Canis lupus familiaris: one gene and its partner. The protein of the gene in region 1 purifies or fractionates together with the protein of each later gene. This does not show direct contact. Links are inferred from orthologs where the notes say so. Each region holds a gene or a part of one and is shown in the gene's direction. Other genes may lie near its edges. The genes, in order: LURAP1 and CDC42BPB.

Region 1 (4,253 bases):
TGTATAAACACCAGGAAAAAAAAAGCTGAATGTTGTTGCCTCTGGGAGTGGGGCTAGAGGTGGGAAAGGAAAGAGCTGGTTAACTATCTTTGCATTGTAAATCCTTCTGTGACCATGCGCTGGAATTACTTGGATTAAACACCCAAATCAAGCCAAAACAAAAAAGTTTTTTGTGGTTCCCCATGGCCTATAAAATACAACCCAAGCACCATAGAACCATCTTCTATAGCCACATTACTCCAAGTGTGGTCCCTCGATCAGCAACATGGCCGTCACCTAGGAGCTTATTAGAAAAGAAGAACCGCAGGCCCCATCCCAGATCTACAGAATCACAATCTGCATTTTAACAAGGCTTGCAGAAAATTCAAATGCAGTCAAGCTTAAGAAGCATCAGTCTAAAAAAAAAAGGCATCAGTCTACAGGATCAAGCATGATCTGGCCGATCTGGACTTTTTTATCTTCAATACTAGTTGCTTCTCATTGGCCAGAAGTGTTATTTTCTACTTCTTTAATCTAAACTCAGTGGCAGGGCACCCAGCTGGCTTAGTCAGAAGAGCATGTAACTCTTGGTCTCTGGGTCTGCGTTCCAACTCTACATTGGGCATAGAGATTACATTTTTTTTTTAAGATTTTATTTATTTATTTATTTGAGAGAGGGAGAGAGATTTTATTTATTTATTTATTTGAGAGAGGGAGAGGGAGAAGCAGACTCCCTCCTGAGCAGGGAGCCTGATGCAGGGTTCCTTCCATCCCTGGACCCTGGGATCATGACCTGAGCTGAAGGCAGACACTTAACCCACGGAGCTACCCAGGTGCCCTAGAGATTACTTTAGATTAAATGAATAAATAAACTTAAAAAAAATAAATTCCGTGGCTACACTGAAAGTGCATGTGGGTGTCAGTAGCTAGCTAGATTCTAACCACTGTTCTAGACCCAACCCTCCCAACCCTCCCACCCCACCCCAGGAAGCCTTTCAAAACCCTCTGCAGTTCTGGGTCACCACTGTTCCTTAAACTCCCCTATGGCTGAGGGTGCTTAGGCTTTGTTCAGCAAACACTTATCGAACGCCTGCTGTATGCCTGCTGTATGCCGGGCCGGATTCAGTCGGCAGAATGGGGAGAAGGCACTGAACTCTGCTAGCGCTCCTTCAAGTACAAATCCAAGTACATACAGATCGCCCAGCCCCACCCATTCCAGGGCCAGACGTGTGCGCGCAGCACTCGAACACACACACGCACAGGCACAGACACGCACGCACGCCGGCACAGTCTGCGCGGCTTTTCTGAGAGTTACGGTGCCCTCCGCCCGCCCCCGCGCGGCGCGGGCGGGGACCCACCCGTTCCGCTGGGCGCCGGCAGCCGGGAGTCGAGGACCCCCGCGACCCAGCCCCAGCCGGCCGGCCGGCCGGCCGCCCGGTCCTCTTCAGCCGTAGGCCCGCATGGAGGGGACTGCGGAGTCCCAGACGCCTGACCTGCGAGATGTGGAGGGCAAGGTGGGCAGGAAGACCCCCGAAGGGCTGCTCCGCGGGCTGCGAGGCGAAGGGGAGCCGGGAACCTCTGGCGCCCCGCTGCTCCCGGGGGCGCCTGGCGCGGGCCACGGCCTGGGGGACAAGATCATGGCGCTGAGGATGGAGCTGGTGAGTGTGGGCTGCGGGGGCCGGGGCCGGAGTCCCCAGCCGGGTTGGAAGGGACAGACTTATGCCCCCAGAGTTGGGCTGGAGAGGCGAGAGTTAAGACTCCTTACCTAACTCCTCGGGATCCCTCCCAGATCAATCCTTAAACCCCGGGGTTCATTAATTGCCCCTCCCAAAGGTGAGTGGGGCGTTGATGGGTCCTGAAGACTTGAGGTGGGAGGCACTGGCTCCTGGAAGTTTTTCCTACCAAATAATTGGGAGGGGAGAGGTGAGGCTGGGAAGCACTGAGAACCTAGCAGAGCCCAAATCTCTCCCCTCCCCACCCCACCCCTCCACCAGGGGCCATCTCTCCCCTGGCCTCCATTATGGGGCAACCAGTTTCTTCTTTTGGTGCAAACTGGGCCCAGAGTTTGCTCATCTGAGGCCTCAGTGTTCATGACAAGATTCAGCTTGGAAGAGATCTGGGTGAAAACTGCCTGGACTAGAGCCACAAAAAAAACATCCTCCCTTTCCCCAAACCCCCCTCCCCAACCCCCACTTAAAGTACTTGGAAGTTCCTAGAACCCCGGGCATCAGAGTAATAGCACCATCAGCATTGGCTTCATCGCCTCTGAGCCCCCCAGGTATACTGGATTTTTGTATCTCGTACCTTCTTGGGGAGAAGAGAAGGAAACAGGCACCCTCCCCCTCCTTTGTTGCTGCTAGTCTAGATTCAGAGCCAGAAGGGCATTTGGGGCTGCCCAGGCTCCCCAAGGCCCTGGTTCCAGTGAAGGGGGTAATTTACACCTGCCACCACTCTGCAGCCAGTTCTGGGGAACTGAAGAATTCTCTCTGGCTCAGAACCAGGAGGCCACAGTGAGTGTGTCAGCTAATAGGTCTTTCTGGAGCCCACCATCTGCCTAGCTGGGCTGTGAGAGAGCAGAGGAGGGCATGGGGGCTCTTAGGCTGAGACCGGAGCCTTCTGAGCAGAGCAATCAGGGAAGGCTCCTTGGGGGAAGGATTTAAATGCCAAGTGTGTGCTTGGCCCTGAAGGTTGGAGGTAAATACCAAATTCTTCAGAGCAGGCCTGTGACTGCCCACCTGAGGGAGGGGCTTGACTTTGCTTCATCGTATAAAGTGGTGCCAGGCATCATGCTGAGCACTTGACAAAATATTCTCTTACTCCTCACAGCAACCCTATTAGGCAAGTGATATTTTATAGATAAAGAAACTGAGGCACCGAGAGGTTAAGTAACTGCCCAAGGTCGTACAAAAAGTAAAAAGCAGAGCCAGCCTTTGAACTCAGACCATCTGCCTGCACTTTACATCTTTACCATTGAGATCTGCTTTGTGCCACTTTAAAGACTTTAAAGACGCTTTATGTCATTGAAGTGGGAAAAGCAGTCATCGTTCCCCCATCGCGTAGATGAGGCAGGCTTGCCGGTGTTAAGGGGCTCGCCTGGCCTCACACAGGGAACCAGTGGAGGAGCCCTGCCTCTTCTTTGGTTCTGATTCTTTTGCCTTTGATGGAGATTACCTGTCTGTAAACTTTAAAGGGGGTACATTTAACTTCTGATTAGGTCTCTGCATTCTCGACCTAGCCTGGCCTGGGACTCTAGGCTGCCCATGAAGGAGGGGGCCTGCTGGGGGCCAGAACAGGGAAAGGCTCCCTCCCTTATTCCTTTCTCCTTCCTTGGCCAAGATGTCATTGATGTCATTGTGTACTCAGCCCTGCCCACTGTGGGGGCTGGGCAGAGGGTTTCAGTGGCAGAACTGTTCCAAGCTCTCTGAACACAGTCCTTCCAACTGTCCCTCTCCCAGCAATCATGCAGGGAGTGGGCAGTCATGCTCCTAAGGCCAAGGTTATTCCTGCCTCTAGGCTCCTTTTCCTCTTGCTTCCCTCCCCCTCTCCCAGGTTCAGTGAACCAGCCAGACTCTGGGGTTGGTGGGAAGGGAAACAATGGCAACCTCCCCTACTTAATCCTCCTACTCAAACAACTGTTGCTGCGACAACCCACCCTCACAGGGCAACCTGAAAAAAAGCTTTAGGCAAGGAGGGGGATGTCCTGGGTTCAAGTCCTGACTCAGCTTCTGAATTATTTAGAGGTCTTTTTTTTTTTTTTTTTTTTAATTTATTTATGATAGTCACACACAGAGAGAGAGGCAGAGACACAGGCAGAGGGAGAAGCAGGCTCCATGCACCGGAGCCCGACGTGGGATTCAATCCCAGGTCTCCAGGATCGCGCCCTGGGCCAAAGGCAGGCACCAAACCGCTGCGCCACCCAGGGTTCCCCATTTTGAGGTCTTGAGTAGAGCCCTGACTTTCTGTTGATCTCAGTTTTCCTGATTCTTGGAGGATGAAGGGACAGGGGCTTGTGGGACCAGATAGTCCTAGTAACGTTAGTCTGAGAATCTCAATCCTTGGCCAGGGAGCTGAGCCTGGAATCTCCTGGCTTTACCCCAGGGCCTGATTTGGATTGAGCAAGGAGGAAGCCATACTCGTGACCCTGGGACTGAGCAGAGTCTGATGGGGGAGGTGTTAAGAGGGGTAGTGGGGGACCTGAATCTCCTCAGGGAAAAGAACTGGGTTGGAGTGGCCTTTGAGTCTGCCTCTCTCCTGAGGTGCTTATCCCTTCTGTT
Region 2 (4,422 bases), on another chromosome or scaffold:
AATACAGATGTAGAGATCCGTGTTGCAGACGGGTCTGGTCAACATACACAATGTTCCTAGGGGAGTAGTTTGAAGAACGCTGCTTACACGCACTCCTGCAAAGCTACCACCTGATAAAATGATACAACACTTGCAGCAGCCAGGGAGCCCGTCTTCCACCGTCTACCTGCTCTGCCCCCGCCCCTCCCCGGGGTCAGGCTTCCCACGGCCCTGCACCCTCCCTCCCAGCTCCCAGCCACCCCCGTGGGCTCAGTGACACCCACGAGGTGCGGGCGGGCCCTGCTCTCCGAGGGTCTGTTTGGGTGAGGGTGCTCTCCATCCTCCCCCCGCCCCCCATAAACCAACAATCTCCCTGAAGCAGTGGGATCTCCAGGCAGACCCGGCCTGGACACAGCCTACCAAAGGCCCACCCACAGCGGAACCTGAAGAAGCCGCGGGGGTGGGGGGGCACCTCGAATTCACGAGGGGCCGGGCGGCCCGTGGGTCGCCGCTCTGCAGCGGGCTGCGCCCAGTCGGCCTCCGCTTCCCAAGGCTGCTACGAGCTCGGACGCGCCCTGCGTTTAGGCCAGCGGGTCACGCCGCCGAAGCCCCCCACCGCGAGCCGCCGCGGGTCCCTCGGGCTCCCCCGCGGGTGCGCGTGCGCCCACGCGGGGCCCGCACCCCCGGGGCTTGTCCGCGCAGCGCGGGCGCACGCCGCCCGGGCGTCCTTTGCGCAGGCGCGGGCGCGCAATCTCGGCGGCGCACTGGCCGCGCGCTCGCCCCGCCCCCTTCTCCTGGCCTTCCCAGCATCCCGGACGCCCTACGGCAAGCGGCGAGGTCCCGTCCCGCCGGGAGCCGGGAGCCGGGAGCGCAGGGGGCGGGGCGCCGCGCTGAGGTCAGCGCGACGGCGGCCGGCCCCGCCGTGGTTGGCTGCGCCCGCGCTGGCCGCGCCCTGGTTGGCTGCGGGCCGCGGGGCTGGGCCGCCGGGTCGGGGCTGGGGTCGGGGCTCGGGCGCCGGCCGGGCTTGCGCTGCGCTCGGCTCCGCGCCGCTCCAGGTCCGCGGCGGGCGGTGAAGGCGGGGAGGGCGCGGCCGCGGGCGGGGCTGAAGGGCGCGCGGCGGGCGGCGGCGCGAGGCGAGGCGAGGCGAGGCGAGGCGAGGGCGGGCTGCGCCGGGCGGGGCGGGCGGCGGCGCCGAGGGGAGGAGACCGGCCCATGGACCCGCGGGGCCCGGCGCCCCAGACGCTGCGCCGCCGGGACCGAGCCCAAGATGTCGGCCTAGGCCGGGGCGCGACGACGCGGACGGGGCGGCGACGAGGCGCCGCAGCTGCTGGGGCTCGCGGCCGCCGGGCCCCCGAGGGCTCGCCCTGACGGCCTGGCCGAGCGGGCGGCGAGAGTCCGGCGCGTTGGGAGCGGGCCGCGCGGCACCATGTCGGCCAAGGTGCGGCTCAAGAAGCTGGAGCAGCTGCTCCTGGACGGGCCCTGGCGCAACGAGAGCGCCCTGAGCGTGGAGACGCTGCTCGACGTGCTCGTCTGCCTGTACACCGAGTGCAGCCACTCGGCCCTGCGGCGCGACAAGTATGTGGCCGAGTTCCTCGAGTGGGGTAAGTGCGCGCGGCCCGCCTGCCCCCCGGCCCCCGGCCCTCCGCCCTCGGCCCTCGGCCCTCTCCCCGGCCCGCTCTCCGCCTTCCGCGCCTCCTGCCTCGCCGGCACCCCACACCGCCGCCCCCTCCCCTCCCCGCCCCTCCCCGCCCCTCCGCGCCCCGCCGGGCCGCTCCTCGCGCCCTCGTCCCTTGGAGGCTCGGGGTCCCTCCCTGCCCTCCTCCTTGGCCCTGGCGCATCCGCGCTCGGCCGGCCCGCCCCCTCATCCTGCCCCTGGGAGCCACATCCTCCGTTCCCACCCCCACTCGCTCCCCGCCGCCGGCCAGCGCCCGGGCCGCTTCCTAGATCCACCCTCCGAGTCTGGATATCATTTCCTGCAGCACTCCCCGGGAAATCCGCCCCCACCCCCGCCCCGGCTCTGGGGTCCAGAGTCAGCGTCGAGCCCCCCCCCCCACGCCCCCGCACACGCCTTGCTGGCGGGTGGAGGCAGCCGCGTGCGATTTTTACATCCGCGTGTCCACCTCCCCGTGGGGCCCCCCCATCTGCGTGTGCGTTTCCGGGGAGCCCAGTTCTATCGGCCCTTCCTAGGTGACAGCCTGCTCCATCCCGTTAATGTCCAGGGCTTGAACACCCTTTACCGTAGCAGCTCCAAGGGAGTTTTCAGGTTAACAGCCTTATTTTGCAAGAGCAGATCGATTCTTTTCATTGTAATCGCACTAGACTTGGAATACGTTTGGGGGCAGCTGGAACTGACAGTATACAGGAATCGTTGAAAAACTTCGTTCATCTGATCTTTGCATGCCTTCCCTAGTTTGTCCAAGGATCCGTAGCGCTGTAATCATTGATCAGCCAACCTATTTTGCTTTATTAGGACAAAAGTTTGATTAAGCCATTTTATGATCCTTAGAGTCTCGAAGACGCTACAGGTGCAAAGTGAAAGCCTTTCGCTTCATCTCTAACTAACATGGGCATCCTGTCAAGATCCTCAGGCTCACCTGTAAGGACCTAGTAGGCACATGGAGTCTTCTGTTCAGGCCAAACCTATCCTTGAGTCACTTGCGTCATTGGGCTGGGACTGTGCAGTTTGAACCAGTAATTTCTGCTCTTTGGGGCTGATAAAGGTGATATTTACAATGAAGAAACAAATGTATTCTGAAGTGAGGCCTCTTACTCTGCCAAAATGGTAACTGGAATTTGAGGATTTGTTTACTAATTAAAATTTAAGTTGAGGTATTCTTTACAGGGTTTGTTTTTGCTTTTTAGCGAAATGATGTTTTGTGAGAACCGCAGTAGAAAGGAGTCCCAGAGCCCCAGGACAGCCCCATCATGCTTTATTTCAATGGAGACCACTGCTCTTGGCTATATATAAACAATATCAGTAAAACGAGTGTTCACTTTCTGGGATCTTTTATCAGTGATGTGATTTTCAGCCAAATAACTCATTTTCATAGTTGCTTTGAAAATGAGGTCTTTGGTGCTTGTTGCATCTGAACCTTCTGAATATTGTATTTGCCTCTTCTTAGCAGTTGCTGTCGAAATCCAGACAGTTCCACAATCAGGTTCAACTTGGTGCACGCTATGTGCGTGCATAGCAGTGTGATGGAAAGGTGAAGTGGAGGGAGGGTTGTTGGAGTGGCGAGGTGTGCTCCAACTGGCTGGCCTCTGGGGTGAAGTCAGAGCTGGACACCTTGTACATGGGTGGTTCTTATGTAGCCCCTTAACCACCCGACCGGACCAGCCACGCTGTGAACTGGCTGGCTTCACTGGAGCCAGCTCTTCTCAGCATGTGCGGAGTTCTTATTGTATGAGATTTGACCTTTCCAAATTGAAACAGAAGCTGTGTGCTATAATTTAGAAATACTTTTGAAATTGTATTCTGTTTTTTTGAAAATTATCACAGATGAATTACATTGGCCTAACAATTCAATATGCATAGACATGTAAACCTTAAATTGCAGGGAAGAAAAATGGATCAAGATTTAAAGTGGCATTTTAATGAAATATTAATGCTACTTCTAAATACTACTAATAAAATATGAAGTAGTATTTAATGTATACCATTATAACTCTGCAAGGGGTGTGTTACTAATGAAGATATGTGTACAGTCATTATTTATTATTACTTAGAATGGCTACATGTTACAACCAGAAGGTGAAGAGTGGTCTGTCAAGTGGAATTGTGGAGCATTGTCAGGTGCCCTGACTTCCATGTGGAATTACTTCTGCTCTGGAAAAGAAGATACAAGCTATCAGCCTAGGGGTTGCTGAATTTTGGATTCACACTCTGCATGGTGTTTGAAACCTCCAAAATGTGGAGTTCTGTCTTACAGAGGGCCAACTTCTCCCCACTTTCCATTAGACACTAGGTGTCTAATGACAATTAGGTAGAAATCTTGAAGCTTGATGGAGAAATATAACCTATTCGGTTCAGATTTTGAGACTTACTGAGGAATCTTTGAGACAATTTGGAAAGTATAGGTAATAAAGTTTTTAAGTTTTTTTTTTACTTTTTAAAATTTATTATAACAACATGATAATTAATTTTAAAATTATTTTCAGAGGTAGAATTTCGTGATTCAGCAGTTGCATATAATACCCAGTACTCATCACATCATATGACCTTCATGCCCATCACCCTCTTACCCCTTCCCTCTACTCCCTACCCTTCCAGCAACCCTCAGTTTGTTTCCTATGATTGAGACTCTCATGGTTTGCCTCCTTCTTTGTTGCCTTCATCTTATTTGTCCCTCCCTTCCCCTGTGTTCATCTACTTTGGTTCTTAAATTCCACATATGAGTTAAATCATATGGTATTTGTCTTTCTCTGAAGTTTTATTTTAACTTC

What was found.
Region 2: the proteins of LURAP1 (region 1) and CDC42BPB purify together in Homo sapiens (co-immunoprecipitation; 3 studies listed by BioGRID and IntAct, with this or other methods). This does not show direct contact. The link is inferred for Canis lupus familiaris from reciprocal best matches to the Homo sapiens genes LURAP1 and CDC42BPB.

The regions. Positions count from the first base shown.
Region 1 is NC_049236.1:14,262,241-14,266,493, reverse strand, and holds the start of LURAP1 (leucine rich adaptor protein 1), read left to right. Parts: upstream 1-1,329; 5' UTR 1,330-1,439; coding exon 1,440-1,637; intron 1,638-4,253. UniProt on the Homo sapiens protein: Acts as an activator of the canonical NF-kappa-B pathway and drive the production of pro-inflammatory cytokines. Promotes the antigen (Ag)-presenting and priming function of dendritic cells via the canonical NF-kappa-B pathway.
Region 2 is NC_049229.1:71,317,881-71,322,302, reverse strand, and holds the start of CDC42BPB (serine/threonine-protein kinase MRCK beta), read left to right. Parts: upstream 1-1,336; 5' UTR 1,337-1,405; coding exon 1,406-1,580; intron 1,581-4,422. UniProt on the Homo sapiens protein: Serine/threonine-protein kinase which is an important downstream effector of CDC42 and plays a role in the regulation of cytoskeleton reorganization and cell migration. Regulates actin cytoskeletal reorganization via phosphorylation of PPP1R12C and MYL9/MLC2.